2 linked regions of the Kluyveromyces lactis genome follow. The protein of the gene in region 1 interacts with the protein of each later gene in a biochemical or structural test. Links are inferred from orthologs where the notes say so. Each region holds a gene or a part of one and is shown on either strand. Other genes may lie near its edges. The genes, in order: BNR1 and BUD6.

Evidence for each region.
Region 2: the proteins of BNR1 (region 1) and BUD6 form a complex in vitro, tested with the Saccharomyces cerevisiae proteins (3 studies listed by BioGRID). The link is inferred for Kluyveromyces lactis from reciprocal best matches to the Saccharomyces cerevisiae genes BNR1 and BUD6.

What each region holds. Positions count from the first base shown.
Region 1 is NC_006042.1:996,274-1,013,772, reverse strand, and holds BNR1 (formin BNR1), read right to left. Parts: upstream 9,947-17,499; coding exon 6,095-9,946; downstream 1-6,094. Other genes in the region: KLLA0_F10978g (uncharacterized protein), read left to right, coding at 1-2,294; ATG44 (mitofissin), read right to left, coding at 2,487-2,699, 2,854-2,862; COA1 (Coa1p), read left to right, coding at 3,142-3,684; AIM20 (Aim20p), read right to left, coding at 4,000-5,046; POT1 (acetyl-CoA C-acyltransferase), read left to right, coding at 10,933-12,147; SMU2 (Smu2p), read right to left, coding at 12,248-12,874; KLLA0_F10835g (Zn(II)2Cys6 transcription factor domain-containing protein), read right to left, coding at 13,991-16,261. UniProt on the Saccharomyces cerevisiae protein: May organize microtubules by mediating spindle positioning and movement in the budding process. Potential target of the RHO family members.
Region 2 is NC_006039.1:1,619,123-1,636,210, reverse strand, and holds BUD6 (formin-mediated actin nucleation enhancer), read right to left. Parts: upstream 13,465-17,088; coding exon 11,371-13,464; downstream 1-11,370. Other genes in the region: CORVET complex membrane-binding subunit VPS8, read right to left, coding at 1-3,420; EFB1 (translation elongation factor 1 subunit beta), read right to left, coding at 3,770-4,313, 4,604-4,683; SFH1 (Sfh1p), read left to right, coding at 5,406-6,734; NKP2 (Nkp2p), read left to right, coding at 7,031-7,486; TAD3 (Tad3p), read right to left, coding at 7,492-8,478; EST2 (telomerase reverse transcriptase), read left to right, coding at 8,761-11,346; MMS22 (Mms22p), read left to right, coding at 13,762-17,088.

The sequences.
Region 1 (17,499 bases):
GTGAGAAAGGAACTGTAGCTAGCAGTGTGAGTGACGATTCGGGTGATATGTCAGAGGAGCATATGAGCAATTTGAGGAAGAGAGTTAAGAAGGAACCAGTCAATGCTCTTGAGGTTTCAGAATCTTTAGGGTATCAAACGTTTAGAAGAAAGATGAGGAAAATATGGACCAAAGAAGAAGATGATCTGCTTAGAAAATTGGTTAACGAATCGTTAGTAAATTTGGGATATCCGGATGGTATCAAATCTATTAAAACAATTCAGCAATCTAGTAATGTTGTCAAAAAAATTCCCTGGGATCAGCTTGCCAAGCAATTCGAATTGGATAATAAGAAAGCGACGGATGTGAAAAAGAGATGGACTAGTTCTTTAGATCCTGTATTGAAGAAAGGTAAATGGACACCAGAGGAGGATGAGCTTCTCTTAAAATCATATGAACACCATGGTCCGCAATGGTTTAAGATTTCCTACGTTTTAGAGAATAGAACTGAAGACCAATGCGCGAAGAGGTACATCGAAGTGCTTGATCCCAGTACTAAAGACCGACTACGACCTTGGGATGAGACGGAAGATCTTCTACTTATAGCGAAGGTCAAGAAATATGGTACGAAATGGAGGCAAATATCGACGGAAATGGATGCTAGGCCAAGTTTAACCTGTAGAAATCGTTGGAGGAAAATTATCACTATGGTTGTTAGAGGCGTTGCATCTGAAACCATAAAAAGCGCTGTACAAGCTGGAAACATGGATGCAGGTAACGAGATGACCAGATTAGGTGAAGAAAACGAAAAGGAAAACAAGACTGATGATGACGAAGATGTTTCACGTCCTATGTCAACTTCAAATACGCCACAACCTTCAATGAAGAGCCCGAGTGGTACTGTAAAGAGAGAAGAATCGACACCTATGATATTTGACATGACTAACAGAACTAATTCTAGTGCGGCATTGTTGGATGTCTTGAAAACTGGAAAAATCAATGCGAATGATGGACAACAACCACACCAATCTAACGAAAGATCGACAGCCACCCCAGATCCAGCTGTTTTAAATAGCATAATATCGCCTTCACCGCATTACAACTCTCCACATCCTTCTATTTTTGTTGGCAGCATCAACAAAAAAGAATCTGCATTACCATCACCTAGCACATTTCTTCCAATACCCAATGTCGAAACTAGGAAACAACAACCAGAAACAACAGTTGACTGGAAATTTAGTCTGAAGGAATCTTCAGGTCATACCTTATCCAACGGTGTTATATCAAACGCTGACTTGGTAAAACAGTTAATAAATCATGCCAAGGCCAATGATTTGAAAATATCAATTCACCAGCATATTCACAACCATTATCTGGCTCCCAGACAAATATCTCCACCTCCGTTAATGTTACCACAGCAACAACAAAATAAACACATTGGTAATACTACTTCAAATTCACAAGATCTTCCAAAAATTAGAAGCCCGTCCTTCTCTGACTTCGAAACTGATTTTCTATCCAAAACTCCAAACTTCAACAATTGGGGATTGGACGATGAAACTCAAAGTCCATCGGCTCTCAACGATAAACTACAACGATTTTATCATCATCATCACCATCATCATCATGATTCGCTAGATGAAGCTCAAGAGCAGAACATAAAACAACAGCATTTAATGAACGGGGCTAATTATGCACAAAACGGCTTAAGCCAGTTGCCACCAAATCCTACAAGTTCCACTGCATCTTATCCATCGCCTACAGCTCCAGAAATCAGAGAAATAGGGCCAAGTAGGCACTCACATTTCAATTATTTACCACCCACGGTCAAGCCACAGCTTGGATCCAGTGAAAACGCCAAGACAGTTGAATTAAGCCGATTGTTAAATCCAAGTCCGAATGGACTTCATGGACATAAGAGGAAACAAACAAAGAGAAGAGGTAAAAATGAATCCAGAAACTCTAGTGCTGCAGGATCGACAGGAAATACACCAGCTGAAGATTTTGATCGCAATGGACCCAAGAATAAAGTAACCCCAAGCACCGTGTCCTCAATATCAATTATGGAAGAAGATGGTAATGATTTCTGGGAGAATCTACGCTCACTGGGAGGTAACATTGGCAGTGATGGAAAAAGCTCAGAACGGAAGTCTCCTAGTATTTCACACATAAATGATCTCTTTCAAAATACAGAAAATGCTGCTGATACACCAACTGGCTACGATGCCATCTTTAAATTTTGCGAGCAGAAGCAAATGGACGACAAGCAATCAACCGAAGAAGTTGTAGCTGAATTCGCCATCAATCCAAGCTGAAACCAGCAATGTATCATTACACCGAACTTTAATTTTCAAAACCACTTAAATATATAATGAATATACTAACTATAAATATATGTTAAGGACTTACAATCACATCTGTTTCATTCATAGCTAACCCGTTATAGCGAAAAGATCACACAAAAAAAACAAATTAAGTTATTAAAGGGGAACTTCGTCTTTTGTATCTCATTTCCTCTGGAAATATGATGAAGATCCTAGAGTTGCCACTGTATAATCATATACTGACTCTCCCAAGTTCAAATATTTCGTGGAATATTCCCTAACGGTAATATCGCTAATGTGATCAATCTTAGGGGTCAATCCAGTATTTCTCTTAATACCTGCCAAGCAGGTAGAAATTAAAACAGCATCAATAGCCAAATGTACAGTTTTACCGATCTTAAATTAGTCTTGCTCATCCAATTCACACTCTTTCCTTCTTCCTCTTCGGAAGGAATGAGCGCATTTCATAGCATAGATGTTAGTATCTTTTAGACATATAATCGTAGCAATACGATTGACAACCCAAACTAGGCTTCATAGCATAACATACAAAGGTCATTTTAGGGAATAAACGTGGTTTATTTGAAGACACCTCGTCTTTGTATATTCTTTTGGCCACAGATGATTTCCTGTTTGCTGATTTGACTCAAGTTTCATACCTTTTTCTCGATTCATTGTTTGATTTCTACTATGAAATGATATTATAAGAAGATCCGAGTATTTGAAAAATTTAGTCGAAGAAGCTGGCCAGTACAACATACGATGATTAGGAAACAGGGAAGGGACATTGCTACACAATCCGCCAACACCAGCACAGGCTAGAAACTCCATATTAACAATGTTTAGACGCATCCTTGCACCAAGATCCGGAATTTCTGTGAGCAGAATACTTACAAGGAGGTTTTTGGCCTCTCAAGAACCAGAGATTATATTAAAAGACAAGTTTAGACCAATGAGAATCGATAGAGAGCTACCAGACCCAACTAAAGATGTCAACAAGAGAAGACTCCAGTTTGTTGGGTTCATTGTTCTAATGACCTCAGCATTGGCTATGATTTTTAACTATGAGAAGACACAGTCTCCGGTTATTTCCAATACCCTATACCATATGCGTCGTTCGCCTAAGATTAGAGAAGTTCTTGGTGATCAGATAGATTTCGATGGGCTCGTTCCATGGGTCTCTGGGGAGCTTAATCAAGTTGCTGGTAATGTCAATATCAAGTTTTACTTGAAGGGTTCCAAGGGTAAGGTCGGTGAAGTTCGATTAGTTGCAGACAGAGAGAACCAACACCAAGAATTTTTCATCCACGAATGGAGTGTCAAGGTTGATGACAAGAAATACGATCTATTAGAGGAAAGCGGTGGTGCTAAAACTTTATAAAAGTGTATTTTTCAACTGAGAATTCATTATTTATGTATCATTTTATCATAATGCATTAGCCCTTATTCTCCCTTGTAAGCTAACTGTGTACTTTTCCTTTCGTTATATCTTGTAAATATTAAATACACAGATTAAAATAGTAATAATAATAATAACAATGATGATAGTAATAGCAGCTCCAATATGGTATGAGTCTACCGGTTGGCAAACAATGGTTAATGAGATTTTTTTTTTTCGAGTATGTGAATTTCTCTCAGCCAGGAGATGAATGGATTTCCTCCATGGAGTGACAGATAGTACCATTTTACGGTTGCCTTATGTTTGTCTTTTTGGTCTCAAAGAATCGATAAATTCCCTTTTATTCTCCGAGTAGTTCGTGAACTCATTTTCGTACTGATCTTCTTCAGCAATGTGATGATCATCTCTGATATCGTAATTATTCTGTAGCCTATATTGTTCAGATGAATCGTTTTCCGCTGGTAAGGTCAACACTTTAGAACCTTTCGGCGTGTCGAATACATTCTCTATTATAGGTTTTGAATTCGTACTTGGAGAAGACATGTGTGTATGCAGCGATGTTAACGAATGTCTCGACGAAATGATAGAGTTATCAGCGTTATTAATATTATGATTGTTGATGGCATTATTATTATTCATACCGGAAATTTGTACTGACGAACCTCGCCTTGGATATGCACCCAAATCGAGTGTTCCGATCGTTTTTAGTAGAGTTTCATTCGATGAATTTCTCCTGGGCACAGATCCCTCGTCAAAAATGGATCCTGATCCATTTCCACCAACTGCAGCATCGGGCAGCATCGGTATCATCTTATCGAACATGTTGATCTGACTACTCTGTCTCTTTGGAGTATCTGCAGACGTGATCGAAGTAGAAGTACTTTTCGTGTTATTGCTCGAATCAAAATCCATGGGTTTCTGTATTGAGGAAACCGTTTCCTGCAACCGTTTACGATATGCAGGCGTATATATATTCCTTTTCCCCGATTTACCCCTACTGATGGACCCGGTAGACGAGTTATTCTTTAGCTGAGTACTAGTATGATCCACTTCCCTTTCCCTCTTCTCCTCACTGGACGATGCCGTTTCATCGGACGAAACGTGATTCCCATGAACTTCGTGCTCATTCTCCTGAACATGCTCACCAGCCTGCTGCATCTTCATCACACCCATATCGTTGAAACTCATCTCTTCATCAAAATTTGAATGCCCGTCGTGTTCCAGCTCTTCTTCCTTGAATCTCCTCTGCATTCGATACCAAAACCCAAACGCAACTATAATCCCCACTCCGATGGGTATTCCTACAGCACAACCAACGGCCACGCCAACAGTATTATCACTCATGATACACAGTACTTACGAATTCGTCAAAACTAGCAAAACTCGCGACGTAGAAAGGAATACTTATAACACTGTTCGAAGATCAGTTCACAAATATCGCAAGACAGGTCTCAAACCACGCTTTGCCTTATATCACCAAGTAACAAACAATCAGACCAAAAAAAAACCAAAGCACAAACAGATCCAGTGTATAACCGGGAACTACTTCTAACCTTCTTAATTTTATGCTAGGTGGATACTCTGTTCTGCCAAACCACTTAGCTGCTAAATACTTATAGATCTCCAGATCCGTTGTAACTGTATCTGCACTTATACATAAATATATAAATATATAAATCTCTCTTAAACCTAGATTTTTTCGAAAAAAAAAGAATGCTTCCAGACGGGAAGTTGTGTTGATGTTTCTGACTAGCAGAAGCTGTATTTGCTCGAGTCGTAAACGTTGAGAAAACGGAAATATAGAAGCCGATCAGAACATGCAGATCTTGCTATTAGCCGGTGGACATAGAGATAGGTAAGACCTGAGAACTGAGATGGGATGGTTTACAAGGAGTGTGTAGCGTTAAGTAAGGATACAGTACAAATATCTTGCGTTACCCTGTTATATTAGGATTACATCTTTTCTCGGCTTGTGGCTTGGCGATATAGTTGCGGCAGGATTGTTATTTTTGTGGGTTTAGGTATCAAATGCTGATGTAATATATCTAGGTTTTTAGATCTAGGTTTTTAGATCTAGACTGTGTATGGTTACGAAGAGAGAAGCAGAGACCGGTTTGTAGATGAGATTTGCATGAATATCGGAGTACTGTCAGTTTGGCTATGCTGAAAGGTTGGACAATTCACGAAATTTTGGGCTTCCGACGTTAAAGGGCTTTATTTTTCCGTTTCGTGGGGAAAAGTTATGTGAAACTTTTCGAGTAATATTGTTCCGGCGTTGGTCTATATATATATATATATATATATACGTTTAAACTGTTCATATGTATTGTACTTGGGTTTCCTGGATCGGGAAAAGTTTGTATGTGACTGAGGGCTAGAGGAGAGAGGTTGTTCACAGGTTTTGAATGCCGCTCTTAAGTGTCATGGCTCGTGATAATAGATTTTGATCTCTGTTGGTTCTTGGCGTAGAACGTTTTTCTGGATGAGATGATGTTCCGGGAACGGATGAACCAGGGATTGTCTGTTGAGGGTCAACGCTACGCAGTTTTTTGATCAGTATATCTATCGTATCTGCAGCTTCGTCATCGGCAGATTTTTCAACTTGGGTTTCTGTCGAAGCCTTCTGTAATAACTGTTGTCTTTGTTCATGTACGCGATTCATTGCTTCTCGTTCCTTGTTCTCTTGTGATATTTTATTGAAAAGCGTTAGGAATTCAGAGAAGTTTCTGAAGAACGTGTTTTTGGCTTCGGAATTTGTTGGATCCTCACCGCAGTACTTCATAGTGCTGTTGAAATCATTCATAGTCAGTTTACATTGATTATGTAACAGTTCTGCTTTTCTGACGGCACTGGGAAGCTTGGCGCTGATTTTCTTTCTAAATTTGTCATCTGGATGGTGTTTCTCAGTATGCGAGAGTTTTCCACGTTCGAATGACTCCTTCATTCTCATTATTTTTTCGTAATATTCGTGTATCTCACTTTCTATCGATTCAATGTTAATCTTCCCCAGGTCAGATAACCTATTCAAATCTCTTGTAAAATCGTATATGTCGGGATATTTTTCTCTGATGATTCTTTCTATCACATGCAAAAAGGATAAATTCTTATCACTGTTTGTCTTTACCATGGAGAGTTTGTTCAATGAGGAAAGTTTGATACCCTGCGTTTTCTTGTTGTTCATAAAGTTTCCGATCTCTACGACAATGTAGAAAAATTGTTTGAGTCTATTCGAGTTTTTGATCATTGAGGTCCCATCATCGATCTTCTGTAATTGGTACAAGATGTCATAATAGTCCTTTTCATATGTCAGAGCGATCAAGAGAGAGGAGCTTCTGATTTTCCAGTAATATCTCATGTTGTAAAACATTTCGAGGTATATTCTATCAGCTCTTTCCAATTTACTGACGTCTTCCTTCGGAGCCTTACCGGTTTTCCAATCTGACGCATAGGGTTCGAAAGATCTAATTATACTTTGGGGGATAGTTTCGAAGTCATCCTTGTTAAAGAACTCAAGAACGCTATGATTCTTGATTATATCATCGTCACACCTTAGTACTTTTATCAAAAGGTCTTCAACAGAATATGAAGAAAACATATGTAGGTTGATTCCAAATTGTTGAGCCAGATCCCTTGACAAAAGAGAAACTTTTTCGTTCTTCTTACTAGCTGTAACGTTGGATTTCTTCTTCATTCGAACTGCCTTCTGTTCAAACAAGTTCACAATCTCATTAAAGACACCCTTTTCATTTAAGTCCTCCTTTAAGTCACTCCTAGTTGTTGGTTCATTCCAAAGTGTGTCACTAATATCCTCTATCTTGTCCCAATGAATCTGCTTCAACGGTTTTACCTCTGGTTTAGGCTTAGACACGAATGTCACATTGTTAGCTAGAGGTAATGGTGGAGGAGGAGGAGGAGGCGGTGGAGGAGGAGGAATGCCGTCTGTTGGTTTTCCTGGGAGGGTTTCGTTTGGGAATGCAACTGATAAAGATGTATCTTCTACTGTGGATTCCTTGTTCAGGGATGACAGAGTTGATGGTAATGGTGGAGGCGGAGGTGGAGGCGGAGGTGGAGGCGCGACATTTGACGAAGCACAGGAAGCAGAACTAGTTACTAGGGCCGGTCCATTGGTCATTGGTGAGGTGAAGGCTTCTATACTTTTCAGTTGAGGCGGTAAAGGTGGTGGTGGAGGCGGCGGAGCCGCTGGTGCTGCAATAGAAGCAGGAATCACAAATGCTGTTTGGGCTGATGGAACTTCTGTGGTCGTTGCTGATACTACATCATTACTGGAAGATAGTTTTGGGAGTGCTGATACCTGATGGAATATGTCGTTCTTGCGTGGATATATCGGAGTCACTGGAAGGTCATCGTCAGAATTGTTATTCAAGATGTTATAAGGGGTAGAGTGCGGATATTTTGACTGAGGTTTTTCATTTGCAACAGTGGATAGCGATGCTATACGTTTACTTTTTGATAAGGAAGTTGATCGTTGAGTACCAATAAGCGGTTTATGTTCTTTTAAAGTCTCAAACAGTGACACAGAACGTTTTGGTGTATATTCTGCTACATCTCTATGGGCGATAGTGAGATCCAACTGTTTCTTTTCTTTCTTTAGCTGATTTTCTACAACTTCCAATCTGTCTTGCAATTCTTCTATTCTTATTTCCCTTGATTTCAAAAGTTCTTCTTTATTTTCTAATTTCTGCAGTAGATCCCCTTTGGAAACCTGTTTGTCTTGTAGCAATGTATCCAATTGAAGTTGTATTCCATCAAATTCTTTCTTCTTTTCATCCAGTTCCATCATTGCTCTTTTGGCAATTTGATGGGATTGTAAGTTATCCATTATATGATCTAGTGAGGTCATGAAAACTTGTTCCGTGTTGGTTTCATCAAAGCTACCATCCAAGGTATGTTCGCATAGATAGGTTAGAATAGAATTGAAAACATAGAACAGTTTTATTGAACCTTCCGTTGTTCTTTCATTTACTAGCTCCAAGATCGTTTCTATAATATTGCAAATAGGCGTTTCTAACGGCGTATCTTTAGTATATTCGATTAAACTCTTGATTTGAGGACCATAAGATATTTCACTCAGAAACTCATTTTTGAACTGTTTGTCTTGCACCTTCAATTCAAGTTCGATATACAGGTCTATGTCCTGATTCAAAGCTGATGAGTCTAAATCCTTCATTAGCCGGAAAACCCGGTGTATTCCAGCTCTCTTCCATCTTTTGAAACACGCCAGTTTTAGATCATTGGAAGGCAGAAGTTGTTGAATGGATTGAACCAGTAACAATGTAGATATAGAGTAATCTACGAGCAATTCTTTTGGTTTTGGAAGAATTAAAGAGTTGTTAAACGCATAATCCTCCGGGTTTCGAAGAGTCATTTCTACTGCCTGGATCCAACTTTCGTAGCACAAATCTAACGATTCCAACAAAGAATCTGACCATTCAGTGGAATATGTCAGAAGGATCACAATTTGGGTAGATAAAAGACGAACTCTAAGGTCAGTTGTGAGCGTTCCTAAAAGGCAGAAGACGTAAGTTATCCAATCATTATTCTGGAATATCACAGATCTTGCTGAAGTATCGTTAAGCAATGCTTTATAACAGCATAAGTACACGTACTGGGATTTTTTATCCAATAAATCAATGAACCCATTCAAAATCGAAACTCCGTTTGCATTCACAAACAGCGAAATAAAATCAGCATGTCGAAGTAAACGTTCCAATTGATAAAGTGTTTGAGTAACCGAGAATCTCTTATTCAAATTGCTCAAAATCATATGTAAAGTATTCAATTTTGAATCGTCTTGCATCGTTATATCACCATGTAGTTTCTTTTCCTTCTGAATCAATTCCCATTTACGGGTATACGACAAGCTTTTCAAATTTTGCTTAGCAGTACCTAGAAACGCATGTCCATTCAATAACTCTTCAAACTTGGCATCAATTTCTTGTTCTGACGGTAGCTGAGTGTCTGCTAAACACATTTTATCCGTTTTAGAAACATGTCGCGTAGAATCAACGTTCGGAGTTGAAAAGTTGTGTGATTTCATGTATCGCAGGGTCTGGGAGCGAGGTTTGAGCCCTGTTCCTACTAGATTCAGCCCTTGTATTACCAGATCATCGTTGGAATCATTGCTAGAAAACCTGGTCTTGGCATTTGCAGTCGGAGCATTAATGGATCCAGATCGAAGCGGAAACAAAATACTAATGGATTTTTCATTCTTATCAACAGTCATTGGTCGGTCAAAGTTTGTTGATTTTCAGTTGCAGAATTATAGCCAGAAAAGTGATTTGATACTCATCAATACAAGGAAAACGCGATCATTCAATAATGATCTGGGAGATAGCGAAATAATTTCACTAGATAAACGCTTGTACAAAAAACAATTTGTCAAAGAAAACGATTAATTCTAATGATTAGCAAAGCTGATTGTAGAACAGTTTTAGACTCTCTTCAAGTGTACGTATTTATGGATTTCCTTTGTGTTACAAAACATGTGTACTAAATTTCATACGCTTTTAGTGCTTCATTTTGTTACGTTCCTTAATAGATGGATCAAAAATTAAAAAACGTAAACAAAAACAGGATCAAAAGCTCAGAAACGCACTTTGGAAAGGAAGAAGAGACCAGAAGGAAACAGTACGCGACACGTGAAACAATCTATAGATACTAGTCACGTGAGTTGGATCTTCTTTGCTACCCGGGGTAAGTTTTTTCAACTTGGGGGTTACCCCGCATGCGACGTTGGTCTTTCATTTTTAGGGTATTTCATAACGAAAACCGGAATTAGTGTGACAATGCCGATCTCCAATTCTACGACATAGCCTTGAGCAAAGGCAAATTTGAGACTGTAGTTAGATTAAGTCAGGATCATTGTTAATGACATCGTGGAGCTCCGTAAAGTTTCTGCTTTTCAGTGTTGATGATTAACTGCGAGCTTAATGGCCGTGAAGAAGGGATGTATGCGATCATTAAATCCTCTTTAACATACTCCAAAACGACGGCTGGTTGGTTCTGCTCATTGTTCGTTATTCCCCATATTTATTTTAGCGAGTGATCCCTTTGACAAATAATTTTTTGTATAAATTACGTACATAAATGTGTCATGCTGACATTATTCCTTTATCACTGACTTTTATCAGATGAATTGATTGACAAGTGAACATCATAGGGCAAGATATAAGTATACTACAGGCGAGTACAGTCAATCAGAAATATAATATGGCTAGCAGACTTCAACAATTAGAGAAACATTTGACAGGACGCAGTTCTGAAAAGGATATAAAGAGTAAGAATCCGGACGATGTGGTTGTTGTAGCTGCGTATCGTTCAGCTATTGGTAAAGGGTTCAAAGGAGGATTCAAAGATGTTAACACGGATTATTTACTTACACAGTTTCTGAAGGAATTTTTTGAGAAAGTTGACATTGATAAGAGTGTCATTGAAGAAATTGCGTGTGGTAATGTGTTGAATCCCGGTGCAGGTGCGACAGAACATAGAGCTGCGATGTTAGCTGCTGGTTTGCCATATCAAACTCCGTTAGTGGCTATTAACAGACAGTGTTCCTCAGGGTTAACTGCCGTTAACGACGTTGCAAATAAGATCATTTCTGGGCAGATCAATGTAGGGTTGGCTATCGGGGTGGAATCTATGTCTAAGAACTATGGTCCGAAGGCTCTTGGGTCTATATCAAATGAGTTGAAATCGAACACGGCTGCTGCTAAGTGTATGATACCAATGGGATTTACTAATGAAAACGTTGCTAAGAAGTTCCAAATTTCAAGAGAAGACCAGGACAAATTTGCCCTGGAGTCATTCTATAAAGCGGAAAGGGCTGTCTCACAGGGATTGTTTAAAGATGAAATCATCCCTATTGAACTACCAGACGGATCTATAATTGCGCAGGACGAAGGTCCTAGAAAGGGCGTCACTTTCGAATCGTTACAAAAGATTAAACCTGCATTTGTGAAGGAAACAGGTGTGACAACTGCCGGTAACGCTTCTCAGATATCAGATGGTGTTGCTGGTGTGTTGCTAATGAGAAGATCCATGGCCATGAAATTGGGTTTGGAAATCGTTGGTAAGTACGTTGCGTTCCAGGCAGTAGGTGTTCCACCTGAGATCATGGGTGTTGGCCCAGCATATGCGATTCCAAGAGTCCTCAAAGACTGTGGTTTAAATGTCAACGATGTTGATGTTTACGAGATTAATGAGGCCTTTGCAGGGCAGGCCATTTTCTGTGTCAACCATCTAAAAATCGACAAGAAGAAATTGAACCCAAGGGGAGGCGCGATTGCCTTAGGTCATCCTTTGGGCTGCACTGGTGCCAGACAAGTCGCTACCATATTAAGGGAATTAGACGCTGGTCAAATTGGTGTTGTTAGCATGTGTATCGGTACTGGTATGGGAGCTGCTGCAGTCTTCGTCAAGGAGTGAGTGAATATTAACGTGTGTATAATGTAGTTTCCCTCTTCTGTAATGACCATTTCGATGAATATGATGAGTAACTCATATTATTCGCTACTGTGTTTTTTTTTCAATCAGAGAGTTTTGACATCAGATTCTTCTGTACCGTGTCCCTATTTATATACTCCGGAGACTGCAAAGAATTCCAGTTGGTAACCAAATAGTTTAATTGTATAACTAGCGGCTGTTTATCTTTGAGTAAAGCTTTTGATTTATAATTGAAATTGTTTACAATTCGTGATAACGGGTCATCTGAAGAACAGTCTTTCGGTTTACTTAGCTTTATGGCGGATTGAGGATAATCGACCGGAATGTTGAAAACACATTTCACTTTCTTTTGATTCTGATCTTGATCAGTGGTAATAAACGTTAGCGAGTAGGTCGTGACATATTGTCCTTTCCTTAACATTACAATATCTGACCCAGCCAAATGGCACAATTGGTCAATTTCGGCTTTTCTTTGCAACTTCAAGGCATTTCTCAATTTGAATTTTTTCTCTGCATTTTCATTATGGGATGATTTGGCGGTAATTTCAAGACTGGTTGCCTTCTCTGCAGGTACTGATTTTTCTGCCTTTGACCGTCTCCCTCTCTTCCTCCTATAACTATGTCCAGCATTTTTTCTCTTGTCAGCTTCACTCTCTTTCGTATGTTTAATTACGCCATTCTCAACTTTTCCTGCAGCTTTCGCAGACATGATGGTAACCCGATTGCTTGGCCTGATATTTAGAATCTCTCAAAATAATATCTACCGAGCAGAGTACGCTGAAACGGTTGAGATACCAATGGTTATATAGCTTAAGTTCTTTTTCATAGCTCCCTCATTCTCTATAAACTGATCTCATCTCATATTTCATTAACTTACCATGTCTACTGCCTAAATGCATAAAGTTTCAGTTTTTTTTCACAAAATTGGTACCTGATTGTTGTAGAAAAAACGTGACCAGAGTTGCGACACTGCCTCAATGAATACCGACTCATTCCTGAAGGCATCGAATAAAGAAACATATAGTCATTGGCGGTCAATTTCTGGAGATTTGAAAGTGAATTCAATCTATCAAACTTGATATTCAACCTCCTTAGTTTCTGAATTATGATGTTTTGACTATTACGTGGCTTCTGAGCTTTCAGGTGTTCACCTCTAATACTGTTCTTTGATGGTATCGAGAAGGCAACAAACAAAATCTCGAAGATCATGATCTTCCTCATCTTTTTGAAATTTATTAAAGAATACTACAACTTTTTTAGACTTCCGTGGAAAACATTTCCTATTTAAAGCAAAAAACGAGCTTTCCTTTAGTTAATTGAGGTTTTTGACGGTCAACATAAGTAAATCTAGGAATACTATCACCATTTAATCTCTAGTTAGCATTCCGTAAAAAATTTGTGGCACGACATACTCTCTGCTGTTTTCTCCTTTGTTACATTTTTGAGCGCTGCATCGACCGTTCTATGTTTTGTTTAAATATGCAGGATACGCCATTTTTGTATTTTAATTCCGAATTAATAACGACTTGAAGAGCATTTTTTCCCTAAACTGAACCTTAAACTCAAAACAATAACAGAAAAATTCCGTAAAAAACTTGAATCTGTGCGCTAAAAAAGCTGTTTCTTAATTGAATGAATTTTGGATGGGAGATATATATATATATTCTCACACATCAAGATAAATAAGTAACTGATTGAAAATCTATATTCTTCTATATTATAATTGAAATAGTACAACTTTGGCATGATATTTGTTCCAGTTTAGAGGATTCATTTAAAGTGATTGACTTCGTTATTTTTTTGGACATTGAAAGGGAATATTAACTTAGATGGGGATAAAGTCATGATCAGGATTGATGATATTCTGATAAGCACCAATTGCAACATTAGCTTTGATGGCGTTTAGCTTGTCTACACTATTTTTAGCAACTGCCATTCCGCTGTCGGTGATTTTACTCAAAAGGTCGATGAAATGGACATAAAGCACATCATCTTCAGCTATAATACATGTGAGTGCTCCTACGAACAACGATGGATGGCAGCACACCCCACAAGATGAGTAATAAGGGTTGCTATAAGAAGTTTTCACCATTGTGTATAGAATACTTTTGATCTCAGGAGATTTTGGATCAACATCAAGAAAGTACACCTTGAGATAGACTTCCATTAGAAAGTAAAACATGCTATGCGATGCAAGCATTGAAAATTTCAACCTTAGGTCAGTCACGTCGATGAGATTCAATTCTAGATTCGAATCTAAAACTGCTGAACGCTGTAATTCATCCAGCAATTCTCTACCGAACATAGATAATTGAGGTAAAACTGATTTTGTCGTTCCGTTGACTTTGAAAAGGAAAATGTTTAATCCGGAAATATCGACGCCTTTGTCTTTAAATTCGAACATTCGCAACAAGAGGTGGAAATACACAGAGTTGAGGTTATTGGACATACCTTTCAAGAGATTGAAAGAATTGCCTGTTAACGACAACGGAGAGCTTTCAGTAAGGAAAGCAGTCTTTGTGAATTCAGTGATATCAATTAAAGAAATTCCAAAATTCGATGCGATTGAAGCGGCTGTTTCCGCATGACAGAACCAATCCCTTAAAACACTGTAAATATCAGCAGCATTCTGCTCTAGATCGGTCAATTGACCCTTTGGCATCAATATTGATGCTCTGATCAAAAGCTGTTGACATCCTCTAAGATGAGTTCTCCAGAGATTACTTCTCAAGGCACTATTAGCAAAAAACATGAGGAACACGGTGAATGTTAAGCAAACATACTCCACAAAGTCTTGAGAATTTTGGATTCTTTCATTGATGGTTCCCAACACTTGTTTGAAACTTAAGGCTCTTACATAACGATCCCATATTTGGGAGAAATGATGCAACTTTGCATTTTCATACACGTCCTGCATAAAAACTGAGATGTCATATCGTATAGCATCTTGGACAATTGTATGTTTCTCATTCAAAGACCAGAGACACCGCATGAAGGTATCGAATCTATCATGAGGAAATAACAAGAAATTACCCGCGATCAAAGTCGTACAAGCAAATCTCCAAATGAAGTTAGTTAGGTTGGGATCATCGATTCTGATTTCGCTGATCGCAATTGGATTTACACTTTTGTATGCAGTTTGGAATGGATCCTCTTTCTCTAAAAGTTGTAACATATCTATCCAGACAAAGTTTCTCCAATTTATATCGTATGGTTTTAAAAGAGGTACCCAGTTCTTTAATTCTGTGGCTGAGGTATTAGGTTTGGCATTAAGGTTTGGTAAGCTCAGTAATTTGGCGTCTGATGGGGAGACACAAATGAGATTTTGTAAGTTAAAGTCGTTCAAATCCAGCAGTTGAGCAAAATCAGGTTTCACATTCCAGTGTAATGAATCTGCTTGCTGGGTTGAAAGTTGTTGTTGTTGTTGCTGCTGCTGCGGTATATTAGACAGCAATTGTAAATGTTCCTGCTGTCGTTGTGGTGGCTGTTGTTGTTGTTGTTGTTGTTGTTGTTGTTGTTGTTGTTGATGTTGTGGCTGTTGTTGCTGTGACAGCTGCGGCAGCAGCAATGGCAGTTGTGTAGGTATTTGTGGTTGTCCCTGCGGTTGTCCTTGCGGTTGTGCCAGCGGATGTGCCTGTGAATGTGCCTGTTGATGTGCCTGTTGATGTGCCTGTTGATGTGCCTGTTGATGAACTTGTTGATGGACTTGTGGACGTACTTGTGGATGCGGTTGTGGATGTGGTTGAATTTGCAGTGTATGTGTAAGTGATTGTGAAGAAGAAGTCGAAGAAGTCGAAGATTTCTTGCGTGGTTGACTACCTATCGGCTGGGATGGTATCTCCTTAATCATACCATCATTAGAATCCATAATTGAATGAATGACAGGCATGCTTTTCAGTTTCGACTGTGATACGTCTTGAAATACAAGACTTAACTGGTACGTGCATGAAATATTTCTCTTGACGCATTTCCCACATTTCGGTTGACCCTCATCACATTTCAAATGCGAACGTTTGCACTGCAGACATCCTTTTCTGGAATATCTTGTCTTCCTCTTCTTTCCAGAATTGGATACATCAAAGATAGACTCTTCCATCAACTTAAATAAGACAGACAAAAAGAGAATACTAAGAAGGAAAGTAAAACTATCGGTTAATAGCTTAAAGGTTAGCCTTGATCCCAATTACCTATAGTGTAATGTATGTTTCTTTATAAGTTCTTGGTTAAGTTTGGTAAAGGAAATAGTGATGAAATATGAATAATAATGAAAATAATATAATAAAAAGAATTAAGCAACGATAGTAATCTTGATATTTTGGGTTAATGTTAACTTTCTTCCCAATCAATTATAAAAAAAAAATAAAATAAAGGGAAAGGAAAAATTGGAGTGGAAATAATAACAATCAGTGCATCAACCCTCAAAAATAGTTCGGTGTTCTGTCTCACAAGTAACTACTAACGTTTCTGCTCTTGTCTCACTTGCTCTTCACTTTTACCTCTTTAAATGATTAATCAGAAATGATTATCCAAATCTTCACCGGTAGTAAATATTGAAAAACTGGAAAATAAAAAAAAACCTTGAAAACTAAAAAATGAAAAAAGTATACGCCTACTGAAATCGTCGTAAAAGGAATAATCGATTTGTTTTCTCGTTAAGAATGCACTGTAGAAATAATGCACTAGAGCCAGAACAGGGCAGGTAAAGCGGAAACGCACGCAGAAAGCAAGAACTCGTGAGTATTACAGTTGCTACGATATGTTTTATATATGTCTCTTTTTTTTTGTTTCAGCTTTTTGTTTTTGGTTTTCCTCGTAGTAGGAAATATAGCTTTACCGTCAGTAGCAATCACCACGCCATGGAGGATGATTGCTATGTAGGCAGCCGTATATATTTATGATGATGTGTATTCGTTATAAAGAGTGAGAGAAAAAAGTAAATTGACATCGGGCAGTATATGTGCATTTTTGTTTGTTATTTCTTGGTGCATTCCAATTCTCGGTGTTTGGGTTTCGCTCTCGAGACCTGGGTTGATTTTCTTTTTAAACTTTTAAGATGGACAATCTCGCATAAAAAAAAATTAGACAATAGTCTTTTTTTTTTTGTCCATTTGGAATGACAATGGCTCGGACACATCAATGCGCAGTGCCGTAGTAATGTCTGTAATTTGTCATGACATTCAACATATTTCTAGGCTCTTTCTTTTTTTACTTCCTGCTGTGTAATCATCGTTGCTCCGAAAGACTAAAGGATTCGAGAAGCGCACAAAAAAAAAAAAAAAAAAAAAAGGATATAGCCGTTTAAGCCGCAACTAGAAAATTTTCATCTTCGGAATG
Region 2 (17,088 bases), on another chromosome or scaffold:
AATTCCCCATATTTTCTTGCCACATACTTCACACTCATGAGACTGAATTGCCCAACCATGTTCTTTTCTGTGCATATAGGTTGTAATATCTGATGATGCACTTTGATTGATAATCTGTAAAATAAGAAGTTTCACTGTCTCTTCGACAGAATAAGCTGTGAAAATATTCTTCAACACCACTTTAATATCTTTGATTTTACTCAAGATAAGAGATTTGTTTTCAAATATCTCCATTAGGGTCTTCCAGAAAAAGCTCTCCTCCGAGTTTTCGATATCATTCAGGTTCCCATCTGAAAGCTCAATAAATACTTTCTGCAAACTTTTATCACAAAACGCTTTTTGATCATCGGTAAGAGTTGGGTATTGAGAGACCAAGTTTGATATCAATTTAACCCAGTTCTTGTTAGTTTCATCTGTCTTCTGGGATACACTGATGCCTAAATCCAAATAATTATCAATTTCGTCAAAATCATTATTTTGTAATAACTCGTTGATTTTCGAGTTTATTTTATCTATTGCCGACCCATAGTTCTTTAGCCGTACTAGCAATCGTATCAAAGTTCTCGAATCCCTATTTCCGTTAATAATATCTACAATACTCTCAACTTCGATGTTTTTAAGGTCAATATTGTCAACCCATTGTGATACACCGGACGCATCTCCGGTTTCATACAACAATGATAGATACTTCGGCCTTGCTTTCTTCAAAAATGGGGCAGATAGATGATAGTTCCCAGACAGAAGTATACGAAGATATCCTAAGAGCGTCAACGGATCAGAAATAAGAAGAATTTTTTCATGTAAGCTACTATCAAAAGAGTCTATGATTGAGACAAGGGAACGCTGATCTTGACAATTTTCGATAATCTTCGGAAATGTATCTGATAGAAGGTCGCAAATTTCACTTCGACCGATAGGCGATTTCGCTGTAGCACCATCACATAGTTTCAAACCTGCAATAATATCATTGCCATTCGTATTCCTGTGTTGATCGCTAAGAATAAAGGTAAGATAATCTGTATATCTTCCGGCCTTTTTATATAGCAGAAGCCGAACACGATAAAAATCCACTCCTGACATTTTATCAATTAGGGCGTTAATATTATCTGGTGAATAAACAGACAATAGTGCTTCAAGACAATCTTCAGAAATTTGTTCAAATCCTTCCAAATCAGCAGATAATATGACGTCTATTTGTGAGTCAATGATAGTGTTGGTTAGGCGAATAAACTGAGAATACTTTGGCAAATTGTTGAACACAAAGAGGGCAATAAGAAGTTTCACATGATTTTCTTTGAAATTCTTCTGTATGTCCAAAAGAACATCAATTATATGTTGTCTAGTAAAATGAAATCCATTTTGAGGGGATTCATTGAACAGAACATCTTCAAATGAGACATCAAGAACGTGCAAGAAATTTTGCGCACTTGATGATATTAAAAGGGAAGCATATGGAAAGGCTGGTTCTTCTGCTGGTAGGGGACACGTTAAAAGCTTTTTTCCAGAGCCTTGTGGCCATTCCAAAGAAGAGCCACTAAAAAGTAAGCTGTAATAAAAGTTCTTTAGGTATAGAATCTTTTTGGAAGGCACTCTTTTTTCTGTTGGATAAACTTTTCCCAATAAAGTTGATTCGATGTACTCGAAAAGGGTATTATCTTCAATGTTAGCATCAAAAACTACACAACATTCTTCTTTGCCAGCAAAGTAAAATATTATATCCACTAGGGGACTTTTATAATCATCCAAAATGGTTGTCCAGAGATATAAAAGTGCAGAGTAGAGACGAAACTCTTTGCAAACCTTGAAAGCATAATCCAAATCCAAAGTTGTACCGTCTAGCGATAATAAAATTGTCTCTAACCTTCTATCATTTCCTGAAGACACTGTGTATTCCATCACAGCCTTGAAAAGTATTGGTGAGAGGTATGTTACTGTCCCGTTAACGATTTTTTCGTAAAGTATTTCTTGAAATTCTTCGTTATGTTTGGTCATCAAAGCTTCCCCTACCTGTTCTAAAAGCACATACATCTTTTCATCTGAGAAAATACTTCCCAAGTCCAAAATCAATGATGTAGCTTCAGTGACCTTACTGTAACTTATATCATCTTTCTTCAGTAAAAATTGAACAGTTGCTAGTGTCAAGTTGTTAAACGATGGTTCAATTTGTCTGATTCTTTTCTGATAGTCTTTTTCCAGATGTAATAAGGCGGTTATCGAATCGAATGATGGACCTTGTAAATAGTAACCTAGGGTTCCTAATGCATTAATGTAATCTCCTTTATGTATATGGTGTAAGACAATATCGGACCATGAGTTAATTTTCCCCACCATTAAACTGTAATTGGTGAGCACAACAATCGTGTTATTTAACGTAGCGAAATGGTTCTCAGATTCTGGAACCATCAGTTCATGAATAAGTAAGTCAATACTAGTGAGTACAGGATCCTCATCGGTATCAACACTACCTATGTTTAAAACGAGAAGCTTACTTGACAAGAGCAAAATAGTCAAAATGTTATTTGTGAGCCAGGCAACTTTACAAATGCATTCAGGAGCTTCGTACGTCCATTGTAAAGTCGGAAACCTGATATCGACAAGGCTCAACTGGTTATCTACAGAGAAGGCAACCTGATTTGGATTGACGTCATTCCAGGAGATATATCCAAAAGTGGCCGAGTTTTTGTGTGACAATTCAATGAGCCGATAAGTTGATAAAGTTGGCGATGACAATGATATGACTGCGAAGGATCGATTAGATAAAACTGCTAACAGATGTTCAGCATCATAATCTTCACCGTTGCTTCGAATGCGCGTAGTCAATAAAGGGTTTATCATTGGATTCAGCCTCAAGATTTCTTTTGCACTAGGTACCAATTGCCAAAGATGATTTCTAGTACCCTTGTGAAGTACAATATGTCCTGTAGAATCACTGACTGCAATATTGGTATGTTTCCCCGGGATAAAATTAAGACCATTAAAGGAATGTCCTCTATGAGAAGCAATATGCAGCACGGCTTCTAGATGATTAGAATCGGAATTTTCATCGACTTGAGAGTTTAAGTCCCACAGGAATATATCACCGGATTCATAGGCTGCGCAAACATGGGTACCATCCTGATTTATATCGATAAATGTTACCTTGGATCTAAAATCTGGTAAAGATGGTGCTAGTACAGATTGAACGAATTGTTTCTTGTTAAAGATAACAACGGCTCCCTTTGCCGTACCTATGATATAGTAGAGCTGAACCGGAAGAATGAAAGTAGGTCCCCCATAATATGATAAATTCGGATACACTTGTTGCAATGAAGTCCAGCTTACATGCAGGGATTCATCCTGAGAGCTCTTAAAGGGATTAAACTTTTCGAAATCGGTTGTGTTGTTTCTCTTATCGTGGCCAGTACTATGAGAGCCATTCATTTGAAACTTGAATCTTGCTGGCAATTGACAAACAGGTAATCGAAAACTGTTTTAACCGAACTTAGACCGTAGGGCTTCTGTTGCCTTTCCTGTTTTTTTTTCTCATATTTTACCTTAAATGCAGCATGATGTTTAATTAATTATCTATATGCATTTATATTATGCACATTTCTATTCTTAAGATGCTCAGAGGCTGTAAACCTAAAAGAAAGATGAACATAACAGGATAAAAGAGACAGCAAGGGTTCGGGTCCAGCAAGAAAGCACGAAGGGGGTCGTTGAGAAATATAGTATATTTATTTATTCATTTATGTAAGGGGAAAAAGGTGAAGAACTTAAATTAGTTTAATTACAACTTTTGCATAGCAGCAACATCAGTAGATTGGACGTGGTCTTCATCTTCTTCGATAAGTTGTTGCAATTCATCAAGAGAAACCTTAGCATCTTCGATGACCATGTTAATTTGCAACTTCTTGATACCGAAACCAATTGGAATCCATTGGTGAGCACCCCAGTTCAAACCATCCATTTCGATGTTCTTAACGTTGGCAACCAATTCTTCCAAATCGGTTTCGTCATCCCATGGCTTAACATCCAAGGTAACGATAGACTTAGCAGCAGCCTTTGGCTTAGCAGCCTTCTTTTCGTTGTATTCAGCGATTCTCTTAGCCTTCAATTGTTCAGCTTCTTCATCGACATCATCGTCAGAACCGAACAAATCGACTTCGTCATCGTCATCTTCTTCTTCAGCAGCAGCTGGTGTAGAAGTAGCAGCTGGCAAGGATTCGAATTGATCAGCCTTGGAAGCAATGTGGTTGAACCATCTAGAGAATTCTGGGTAAGTAGATTGGAAAGCCTTGAAAGCAGAGACGTCAGCTTGAGTAGCAGAGGTACTATATTGATGCAATTGTTAGTTAGTAAAATGGAAAGAACAAAAAAATGAAATTTTTTTGTATGGCAGCTAAGCTTGCTTGCTGAAAAGAGAATTCAATAAAAAAGATAAATCAGAATCGTACTGTCTAGGTACTGTCTCTTTGTCACTCATACCGGGGGTCTTACTTCCCGTCATAAACACGGACCAAAGAATTTGTTCATCATTGAAATAGTAAACTTTGAAGAATTCTCTTATTCAAAAAACTGCTTGATGCCATTGGAAAACCACCACTATAATTATTTCACATACCCTTCAATGTAAGACTTGTCAGCCAAGAAAGTGTTCAACTTTTGCAAGGTTTCGACCTTGGAGAAATCAGAGAAAGACATCGTTAATGGATAGTTAAACCTGGTGAGAGAAGAAACTAGGAAAGAATCAATTCCTCTTCTTCTTCTTACAAGGAACGTTGAATCAAATTGACGAAAAAAAAATACTGAAAAGCTGATGAAAAACTCTAATTCGAAAAGTTCCAATATATATATATATATATTTATGAGATATATGATATGTAAGACGTATGTACTATGGAATTATGGCATCTACGTGTATTCAAAGTGCATGCAATGTGCGGTGGAAGAAAATTTTTTTTCTTCCTTGTAAGTGCGATGAGATAGATACTGGAAAGGCAACAGCAGAAAACAGGGCACGCTGCGGCGTGCCCTGCGACAATTTGAGAAAAACCAAGTTTATTTTCAAAAATCATGGGTCCACCCCTTTGAAAAACGATTTTGCCATAGTAAATGGTTCCAAAACGGTACGGATTTTTCTGAGAAAGTGTTCTTTTTTTCATTTTTTTCAAACTGGATTCCTTTTCTTTTGACAAGTGAAATGTTTACTCAGGGTAACACTTAGATTGTTCAATCAACTCATCACTGTATACGAATATGAAAAAGTATCCATCAATTCAAGAATAGAAGTGCAAGTTCGTGTTTTAGGGCTGGTTGAATAAAGACTATGATAGTGTTACTACAAACAAACGGTTTACTCATTGAAGCGTGCTGATATACAGCAGACAAAGCAACTACGACCTGCCTCCCAAAATTGTATTGATATGTCGCTCGTACCGCAAGCCTACTTGAGTAACTTCCATAATAGAGTGAAGAACGAGGATGTTCCGTTGTTTACTGCTGCGCAGTTATCGAGAAACAAGAGGGGTAAACAGGTGAACTACGCTGAGTTCGATACGGATCTCTTGGATGAATTCATCGACAAGAACGATGAGGATGATTTGGAGGATGATGTGGACGATTCGGATGGTCGTCGTAGGGGTGGGGACTACTATGATCAAGTAGACGGTAGTGATGGAGGTGCTGCGGCTGCTGCCGCCACCGCCGCCGCAGCGGCGGGACTCGGTGAAGATGGTGGCATTGGTGAGGGCACGCCCGGGTCTGGTGACCCCGGTGCTGTCACTGGCGGAACGCCGGCTGCAGATACTGGGCCAGACGGTACAAACGATGGTACTGCAGGAACGTCAAATCCTAGCTCAGAATTGGATCGCATCAAACTAAACGACTTGCCCGACCTTGAAAGTCAGGATGATTCTGCCACTCCGCTAGCTTTGTTGAAATATCCTAGGATTAGGGAAACTTTCGTGCAAAGTAGGATCGCTATCAGTTATAAAGACCTTCTTGGAGATTCTATCCAGGATCCGCAGCAAGTGGATATAGAAAGCCCGATAATGGTTCCAATACGGTTAAACGTTGAATTCAGTGGACACAAGTTAGCAGATTTTTTCATGTGGAATTTGAACGACCATTCGATGACTCCAGAACAGTTTGCTACGATCTTGTGCCAGGATCTTGATTTCCCAGTGCTTTCCAACCCAAATAATTCCCCATATACACAGATTATCTCTATGATTAACGAACAATTACAAGAATATGAAACATTGGCATCTTTACAGGTTCCTGATTTACACGTGATAATAAATTTGACTGCAAATCTCGATTCCAAGCTTTATGATGACACTTTTGAATGGAACCTTAATGACGATTCATTATGCCCAGAACAATTCGCAGAATTGGTGGTACAGGACCTGGGCTTGCAAAGAGAGTTCGTTCCTGCCATTGCACATTCGTTGCATGAATCCTTGCTAAAGGTAAAGAAGGATTGGCTCGAAGGTAATTTGAATTTGGCCCATGTAGAAAATAAGGCAGCTTTCGGTTACACATCAGGTATCCGTCTAGATATAGATACACTTGGCGCCTCATGGTTCCCTAAGGTAGAAGTCCTCTCACAATGGGAAATCGAAAAGCGTGAAATTGAAAAGGAGAGAAACATGAGAAGATTAAAGAGAGAAAGTGCCAAGGTCGATGACGGAAGATCCAGAAGAAGAGGCAAGAGGAGAATGGATGACTTGGAAACTACTTTGAGAATATAAGTGTGTTCTCTTTTCCGGCCAAGCAGTTTAACTTCACAGACGCCCATTAGACAAAGCTGTATAGAAAATAAAGTTCTCCATCTATTCGTGGAGATTTATGTATCATTAATGTATTAATACCACCGTCATCTGTGGTTTTGCACAAATACTCTTCCTTTTCGTCAGACTATTATTTATTTAGTCGCCAAAAATCTCCACAACAAATAGAAAAAGATCAAAGATCATCGCGAATCAGTAATGCGTACGCTGGGAATAATAAAAAGTACATACCCGAAATCCTTATTACTTCAATTACTATGCTCCACGAAGTATTATACAAGCATTTAGACGGCATTTTAGTCTCACGTTTGTATACTGAGGATCAGTTTGTTGATCTATTTTCTAGAACGATACCGGAATCCAACACTGTGATCGCGTCACAGTTATACAAAAGTTATGAAGAGAATGATCAACGGATCATTGAAAAAATAGATAAACTCATCGACAACAAGCTGTCTTTGATAAGAGTTGAGCTCGAACGGGAACAAATTGAAGACTCCATTTCTCTCGAGGAAGTAAATAAACTATTGCATAGCATTGATGATATGTTGCAGCAGCATTTAAATCAATTAAACATTGAACTAGATAATAAAAATACAAAACTTTTGAAATATGCAATGGAACTCAGTGACATTGAAGCAATAGATACTTCCATGTACGATAATGTTGCAAAATTAATAACGGACATGGAAACCAACCAACCTTCTAGTTGAAAAGCTCAAGAACACACGGTAGAATCTATTCCAGGCACTTCCAATTCTTCACCAACCCATTGGAAGACTTCATACTTGGAGTTCAAATCTTTGTTTGAATGCATGCAGTATCCATCACCTGAATCAGGTTTCAGTGCACCGCTGACCGACATAGGATTGATGAATATGCATCTTTTCACTCTGGAATGAATTAGTGCCATGCTGCACATTGAGCACGGCTCATGACTGGTGTATACGTCAAAATCTAAGCAGAGATAAGTTTCCCCTTGATGTATATCTTTTTCTGACGCGGTACCGTTTTGGACACGGTCTCTTCTCTCCTGCTCTTCTTTAGCTACCTCATTTATTCCGACCATAACACTGTGATCGAGGGGAGATCCACTATGTCTATAATCCTTTGATATTATAATTTTACCAGATTTTGGATTAACGAATGCCGATACTATTGGAAGTTGCATGCTATCCGAATCTCGGATTGCTCGAGACTCTTCTGCTATCTTGGTTAACAATGACCGAATCTCTGTCATGTCAAATATATAGTCGTTTAATATCTGGTCATTAGGATTTCCTCTCCAAATTAACGGCCAATACTGTTCACTCCACTTCAACATTAAGCTTTTAGTCGATGGACCGACCTTCGGTACTTTGTTATCGTCTTTCACATTGTCATACTGGAAAACGACTCCTTTCAGCATATTGTCAAAAGTTGATCTATCCGGTATGTACTCTTTGGAGCCGATAAGTACTCGTAGTGTGTCGCTATCAAGCTTCTTGATCCGTTTCACATGAAGGAATGAAACGGGGTCATTATCCTGAATACCTCGTACGAATGGTATCACTGACTTACTTTCCCTTGGACGTACTTCGATAGACCAAGCCTCAACTAGATCAGGCACATCAACGTTTTTGGTATCTCGAATTTGCCAGAGGCAATCTTCGACGATGCATTTTATAAAATCGATCTTAGTGGGGTTCAGATGTTTCTTAACCATACTGTTAGCTTTTCATGTGAATAACTAGTAAATCTAGAGCTATAATTAAGCATCCATTTCCTTTACCCTTTACATATTAGTATATCATCTCATCGCATCGCATCTTACATTTCTATCATTGAAAAATTCATATCCAGAAATTATAGGCTACGAAACACTATTTACCAGTTTAGATCATGCTCGTAAGAAAGATGAACACTGAGAATAATTAATAAGAACCTTAAATTGATCATCGAGATGACTAAGGTGACTTCGAATAATGACCTATATCAATTGGTTTAGATGAAAATTCTTGTCGAATATTTGGAATCTTTAGAGTGCTATGAAACCCTCAGAAAATCGGATATTCTGATCAATGCTGACTCTAATGGGGTATCCAATCTGTTACTCAGCTGTTTCGCACAAGTTAACAGCAAACATTGCGTACCTCCTGAAATTGAAATATCTTCTACTTTCAGCTCATCGTATCACTGTGAAACTATAGAAACATGCATTCTCTACCTTTTGCACAAGAATTTTACGAATAATATACTGACTTATGGTTACCAGCTGGGAAAGAATTCAGATGTCATGACCAAACTGTTTTGCCGTTCATCGAACATAAGCGTAAGTGTATTGAAATGTAATAGCTGGAGATTGTTCCATCAGCTGGTTGGCACTGACAATTTTGTGAATTTGTTAATCAACTATTCCGTATATTTCAACACCGGCCATTACTTCAGGCAGATAATTGGAACCCCCGCTAACGCGCCTCAGGTGCCACCTGCATGGCTAGATCGGTCGTATAGGAGGGAAAGAAATACTAAGCTAACGATAGATTGGAACTCTGCTCTATATCATAAGATAAGACCGCAAGATTACAAGAATATCATTGAGACTGATCAGGGGCTGTTAATAGCTGAGATTTTTCCGAAAATATCAGAGAGCAGTAAGACACCTCGTTCTCTAAACTTTGCATTGAATAATCTAAAACCCATTTTATATGAGCTCATTCGAGCTCACGAGAGGTTTTCATATAGACACATCATCAATAATATATGCCCCAAATCAGATACTTTCTATTCATCACCCAAAAGTGTCATCAAACTGCTCATTGTATGTGTTAGAAAAACGTTCCCATTGGACCTGTTAGGATCAAATTCAAACTATAGCGTTCTATCAAAAGCGATTGCAATACTTGTCAAAAAACCGCTCCATTCAAAGATACTATTTGATGAATTATGTAAAGGATTGCGTGTGAAAGATGTCAAATGGCTAGAAACAAGGCGGCTTCCAGCTGGTGAACAAACTCAAAAGATTCCATATTATGATGTGAAAAATCGACAAGCGCTTCTTTATAAACTGTTTTTTTGGATCCTTTCCTGTTACGTCCCAAAATTACTATCTACATTTTTCTATGTGACAGAACTATCGTCGACTGTCGATATAGTTTATATTCGTCATGATACTTGGAAAACCATGTCACAACCTTTTTTGAAATCTTACTTTAGGAGGTATTTGCTTGAGAATAAATATTGTTTCCAGCACAGATCTTTCACAGAATCCAAGTTCAATCACAGAAATCTTCGTTTAATACCAAAAAAATCAGGCCTCGATTTCAGAATAATAGCGGTGCCGTGTAAAGGAGTCAATATACAAGAGTTTAACGAGTTTAATGATTACGTTACGAACGCTCTGAAGCCCACCAAGATTATACTGGAAAGATTGAGGATGAGACGAAATACCAAGTTTACAAAAGCATTCTCTCCTTTGGAAATACCCAAGATTGTATTAAGTTATAAGCAAAGGCTACTTTTAAAACATGGTAAAATACCGAATCTCTATCTTTTAAAGTTTGACATTCAATCCTGCTATGATTCAATTCCGGTTCAGAAAGTAATGAAATTGGTAGAGGCTCGGATATGTGAAGAGCAGCAGTTTTTTATTAGATCTCAAGATATACTGACAACTGCTTCCACTCGTCTGAAAAGGCTTCATGCTGTAAATGGAGACATACAATTCCAGGAAAATGATTTAGTAATTGATTCAGTCAAAACTACTGTCTTATCAAAAGAAGACGTTTTAACAGTAGTTAAAATGGAACTCTTCAAAACCAGTATCTTTTACAGAGGCAAGTGTTACTTAAGAAAAGATGGACTCTTTCAAGGAACTCCCTTATCTTCCGTTCTTGTTGATATATTGTATGACGACCTACTTGAATTCTACACCGAGTTTACTGATGAAAATGATTCAGATCCGATGATAATACGGCTGGTGGATGATTTTCTAATAGTTTCAACTTCCAAGAAATACATCGAGCGGCTTAATAATCTGGCTCAAACAGGATTCAAATCTTTCAATACTTATATAAACCCACAAAAAGTCTTGGTTACTTCATCAGAATCTGAAACATCAACAAATGTACCTTTTTGTGCACTGCAGTTAAATCTAAGAACCCTAGAAGTTTGGAAAGACCGCTCATCGTATAATGTCCTAGGAACAGTTTTGGGATCATCTAAGCAACTGTATAATAAATTACTCTGGATCTTTGAGATGAGACTATCTTATAATATGCTGGACGAGCGCTTAAATTCTTGGGAAACGGCTGCAAGGTTCCTGAGAGAAGTTGCGTTAAATGTAATTCAATCGTTCATTGTCCTTTTTAATAGGAAGAAAAGCAGCAGAAGATCTTTCAAACAATTTGTTTTCAACATTTTTCAGCGAATTGATCTTAACCTCTCTTCAGCTAATATGTTCTCGATGGAAAAGTCCGTCGCGTCAAAAGAACTGGTGTTGTCAGTTTTCCTTGAACAATTAAAATTAAGGAAGAACGCATTTGCAGACATTTTGACAAATGTCAGCGATTTGAAACTATTAATAGAGTTTTAATGCTATTACTTAAAATTATTGTACCTATATCAGACCAAAATTAACACGCAGATTTTCTTCGTCTTTTTGTTTTCTTAGGCGTTCTATCTCCTCAATGCCACCGGCCTTTTTGAAGTTACCTTTCTCAACGAAATTGCCCAACTCATCTTCAAAGGCTTCATTTTCCTTGTACTCTTTCTCTCTGTTTCTTAGTTTTTCTGCCTTTTTAATGGCTTCCACTCTACTGTCATGATCTGGGTTGAGATTCTGAACTTCAGTCAAGACTTGATCGCGGATCATATTATATGTGCCTGGCTTGGCTATCGGAAGAATGGGGTTTCCCTTATTCTTCTTTGGGGCCTTTTCCTGTTGTTCGCAGCACAATTTAACCAAATCAAATGTCTCCATAACCTTATTCAAGTCTTCTTGTAAATCAAATACGAGATCTTCTTGCAATGTCATGAACTGTTGCTCTTCACACACCCTATCTAATTCCGCTTCCCAAATAGTTTTCCAATTTGGCTTTTCGACATCTATATAATTTCTCATTTGATCCAAATCCTTCTTAGCGGAGTCTAATTCAGACGATACATTTTCAATCTTCTTCTTGGGTGTTCTCGCACCTCTAATGGCCACATCTTTACGTAATGCCTCAATGACATCTTGAAGATCGTCAACTTTACTCAAAAGATTATCAGAAACTTCGGATAACTTCGACTGGGACTTTTCCATATAATCGCGATTAGCTGACTTTCCTGTAGTTATTGAAAGGCTCTGGAATTTCTGTAGTTTTTCCACGATAGCGTTTATAGTATTTTGAAGCGATCTCTTTTGGTCGCTATGTATCTGTTTTAAAACGGTAATTTCGTGCCTAATATGAGCAACTTCTTTACGATGATCCTCATGTATAACTGTTGCAGAATCTGAGGATTTTGGACCACTTGAATAATCTGGTGACGATACGTGAGTACTATTTTGGATAATCTCTTTCAAATTTTGAAAAATTGTATCTTGCTTTTCTAATAAACCATCTTGAAGTTGGCGGAACTGTTCATCTAGAGACGATGATTGTACCTGTAATTGGAATACGCTCCCATCTATTATACCATGTAGGTGACTCTCTTCAAGTTCGTAAAATGCCTCGTATTTGGGTTCCTTCACATATATGTCAGGGAATACATCACCTCCTGGGGAATATGCAAATTTCTCAACAAATAAAAGTCTAAGCTTGTTGAAAGAGAGGTGAGAACTAGTTACACATCGTTTCACCTTCTCACCGATCTTCAAAAAGACAACAATTTCATCTATGCTTGAGTTATCACCTTTTGGTTCTGGTGCTCCTGTCATGGGATGATAATCTACGGATGAAGCAGAAGAGATTCGAGAAGGCTGTCTTTCCATTTTAATGCTTTCTGTATCAGAAACATTGGCCGCTGCTGCCGCTGCAGCAGCGGCTGGAACTGCTAAATTTTTAGACGTTGGGGAATTCGATGGATCTGAAGCTGTTTGGTTGGCTAATTTCGCCATATGATACGCTGAAAACCTCTTCGAGGCTCTTCTTTGCAGATTATTTCCCTTTTTCAATTGAGTTAACGCATCGCTTTCAGAACCCTTGGGAACTTCTAACGTAGGTATCTGTTTTGTTTCAATATGAGCTGAAGTAGATGTCGGTCCCGCGCCAGCCAAAGATGTCGTTGCGCTGACTACGGATGAAACGGAAGATCTTTGAGGAGTATGCTGATATTTCAAAGCATCTTCATTCCTGCTCAGTTTTATCATCGCCTGTTTAACCTTAAGTTTCTCCAAGAGTTTAACTATAATATCTCTGATCTGCGGTAGGTATTTATTCAACGTTTCCTCAGATGCAGTCTCTCTCAATGCCACCTCCAATATTCTTCGAAGGTCTTTTGGCACATCGCCAAGATCCGAAATATCAATTCTAGCATGGGTAAAATGTCTACTGACTAACTTGAAATCATTACCCAATTGAACATACACATCGGAAACATTACGCTCGGTAACTTTGCCCTTGGACCATTGCGTCAGAATTTGTAATAGTTGTTTAGTTGAAATCAATAGTTTCGTCACACTAGTTTCCACAGATGATGCTGATTTAGAAATTGGTGGTGGTGTTTCCATCTTTATCAGACACACCTTACGTACCTCACCCTACTGCTTCCACACACCTAACTACTAGCTAGGAAATCCAACGTACACTTTTTAAACGGTATGTTTCTTCAAAGCATTACTAGATCAAAAAGCTTTAGGTTTGATTTGGTTTGCATAAATCTTTTGTTGATAAATATCAAGAAACGTAATTTCCTGAAGTTAGGCCGAGATAATGAAACAGGAAAGTATGGAAACTTACCATTTCAGAAGCTAAGCAACCAACAGAGACGTGTTACCGCGTATGACATATAGCGTGGTTTCTGTGGGATGAATCAGGACTCTGTAGTCCCCAATTCGGAGGCTAGTGATGAAGAGATCGTAATACCTCTGCATTCGGAACCAAATGTATTTCCAATCTTCGATGACGAATACCAGGTACGCGTCATTCCGGGCAGTCTCGATAACGTAGCACAGACACCTCCTGATATTGGAGTTTACTCTAATAGTATAAGACGTGCATTGAGAAAGCGTAAAGCAATCCAGAAGATGCCGTATAGTTTGGATAGAATACGGCATCGGCAGTTATTGCAAGGGTACGATGTATCTAATTTCGAATCTCTAGCAGATCATATCAATCTGCCGAGTGGTTCCCGGCAAGATATTACTGTTAATACGGACAATGGGGGCGTGCTCAATTCGAGTCCTGTGAAGGGCGGCCTTTCACAGCAAGAACACTCGACTATTGCGTCAACAAGGCTTCGAAGGCATCACCATTTCCATATTTCAGATGATGATGATGATGATGAGGTATATGGTAATGCTGAACTAGACAGCGATGAAATTCGTGACGAGTGTCATTCGGAAAGTGACTCGAATCAGTTTGATAGATCCAGTTTATCCTATGATGATAACGTTGTTTTTAGAGGAAGGCAAGTCAATATCAGAACAGGATACAAAGGTGTATTACCCAAAATGGCGTGGAAGAAAGCACTTGATAACAATACAGTTGAAAGTAATAGACAAGGAAGAAATAAAAATAACCACTACGATGAAAATTCACGGAGTAAAGGTTTAGCCAAGAGAAAAATATCTCGTAGAACGTTTAATTCCAGAGACGACAACCTTGTAAACGAATTAATAGAATCGGATGCTGAAATTGAAGTTGGATTCCCGGAAACATATCTACGGCTACAGAATGAGCAAGATTCAATGGAAGACTCAAAACTAGAGGAATATTTTCTACAGAAATATGAGCCAGAACCAGATTCAGATTCAGATTCAAATCCACCATCTTCAGCTGATGATATTACTGAAATTACAAGCCAGGGGATCGAACTACTTACTCTAGATGATGATGAAAAGACTGCGTTGGAAACAATAATCTTTGAACCTTCGAGCATTGAACCTTCATCTGCAATAGCTAAAGATTCTACTAGTGAAATAGATTTCATGCTAACAAAGACTCAGAAGAATCGTAGAAGTCTGGATAGTAAACCCACAATCCTGAAAGATAAATCAAAACGTACAGGTATCCAGCGTCATGGTAAGAAACGAGCTAGAAATATAACAGGATCACGCGGGCGAGAAAGAATATCCATGATGAATAAAGTTAGTCCTTTCAGAAAAGTTAATTCCAATAAAGCTACAAGGGAAAATTCCTCAAAAAACAGCTACCGGGAGCCATTTAGCATGTTGGGATATCCAAAGGTAGGGAAGACTGGTGATAAACCTGATGTTAAGGAAACTAGACAAGAAAATTCCAAGGCGGTTAACAGAGACAAAAATACCAAGAAAATTAAGAATGGAATGAAGCTTTTCACCATCGCTCCAACTCCTAACGCAGAGCTAAATCGGAAAGCAATGACTTTTTCAACAGTCGTTGAAGAGCTAAGTGACAAGTTTGCTGTCCGTCCAATAGCACACATTGGAAGATACAAGTCTACTTTACCTTCCAACCCTAACCTTGAAGTGAAGAAACCCACTACGATATTAAATCATTCGCTATTAGAAGCGCTTAACAAATCATTGACGTTTGACTCTCCCAATGTTATCAAGTTAACATTAAATGGAGATAATTTTATTGTTTCAAAGTTCAATCAGAATGCTGAAGAAACTCTTCGGGAAATGTTAGATAGCGTTGTAAAGTTTGGTGGGCCTGACTATGAGGTGAACAGTCTTGCTAAGAGTTTGGCCGAATTTTTGTTTTCTTGGACGTCAACAGAAGTGTACGATATAATCGAAAGGTTTCATCACGAATTCAGAGCCAAAGTTAATAGTTTAAGAGAACGGGCGAAGCCCATTCATTTTTTCTTTATCGCAGTATGTCAGCTTCTTTTCCTTGAAATTAGTAGATATTTCTCTACTTCTATATCAGTCAGAAATCAGATACCAGAGAAGATAACTGACCACATAATATCTTTCTTTAAACTTTATTCTAAGTGTGAGATTATTAACCTTTATCGAAATAATGATACAATGACTGAAGCCATATCGTTATTAAGGTTTGTCATTGAATACTTAAAGTGTGAGGAGATGTTGTGGCAGAAACTACGACGGAATAAATTTTCACCCGCCGTCGCTGGAGTAATAGCAATGACATTTAGAACCAATAAGCAATGTTGGAGTATGGTGAAGGTGAATCAGACGTATCAAGATGCTGTATCTTGGATCAAATTTATTGGCATATGTTCGAATGAGCCATATGAATGGGAAATTACAAATGATCTCGCTCTTGACTTGTATGCTTTCTTCAAAGCTCGCAAATTTGAAGATTTTGAGGAAGAGTCAAGATATCAAAACTTTCCTGTGGTGCCTCATCTTGAAGATGAACTGAGAGAGACCTTATTCAATACATTTATAAACATTCTTGAATCATGTCGTTTCAGTACTTCAACTTTAGAGAAGCTCACACCAATGTCAAAGATTCATGATTTAAACTCACCTTCTCTATTTGTCAATCGATTAAATCTTTTGTTGACTCTGGCGTACCAAAGCACTTACAGTTACGAAAGGCATTTTGAGGAGCTTTTGGAACAATATGTCTTGAACCTCGACCTTGATGTCCATCAAGTTATAATAAAAGCAATGCTGGAGGGTTCGTTGTCATTCTTCTCAATTTCTCACGAGAAAAAGCATACTGTTAAAGGTAAATGGGTTCCCATGTTATGGAAGAAAGTTTCCATTTACAAGTTGAATTCCATAAACAAAGTATGGAGAAGCTTTTGGAAAAATCTCAAAGACATCCTTCCACACTTGAGTAAATCCAGGGTGGCAATACTTAGGTCGTTTCAATCGATTCTTCACAATATGTTGCTTTCGGATAAAAAGTTAAACCAGGCAACTCAATTATTAGACATATATGTTGAGAGTTTGGAGATCTTGAACACTGACTGGATTCAAACACACGTTTTACAGCTGTTGGTATCAAAAGCGAAAGAAAACGTTACTTATCTCCATTACTATTGCAAAATAGCAAAATATTTGACTTGTAAGAACGCTCTTACTTGGTGGTCTTTATTCCATTATAACACTTTTGAGGATAATGAAAGTATATCTGTTACCTATTATACCTTTCTGGCTGAGGAATGTGATGCATCTACGTTCTCCCAAATGAAACTAACGGTATACCAAAAAATTCTCGCTCGCTTAATAAAA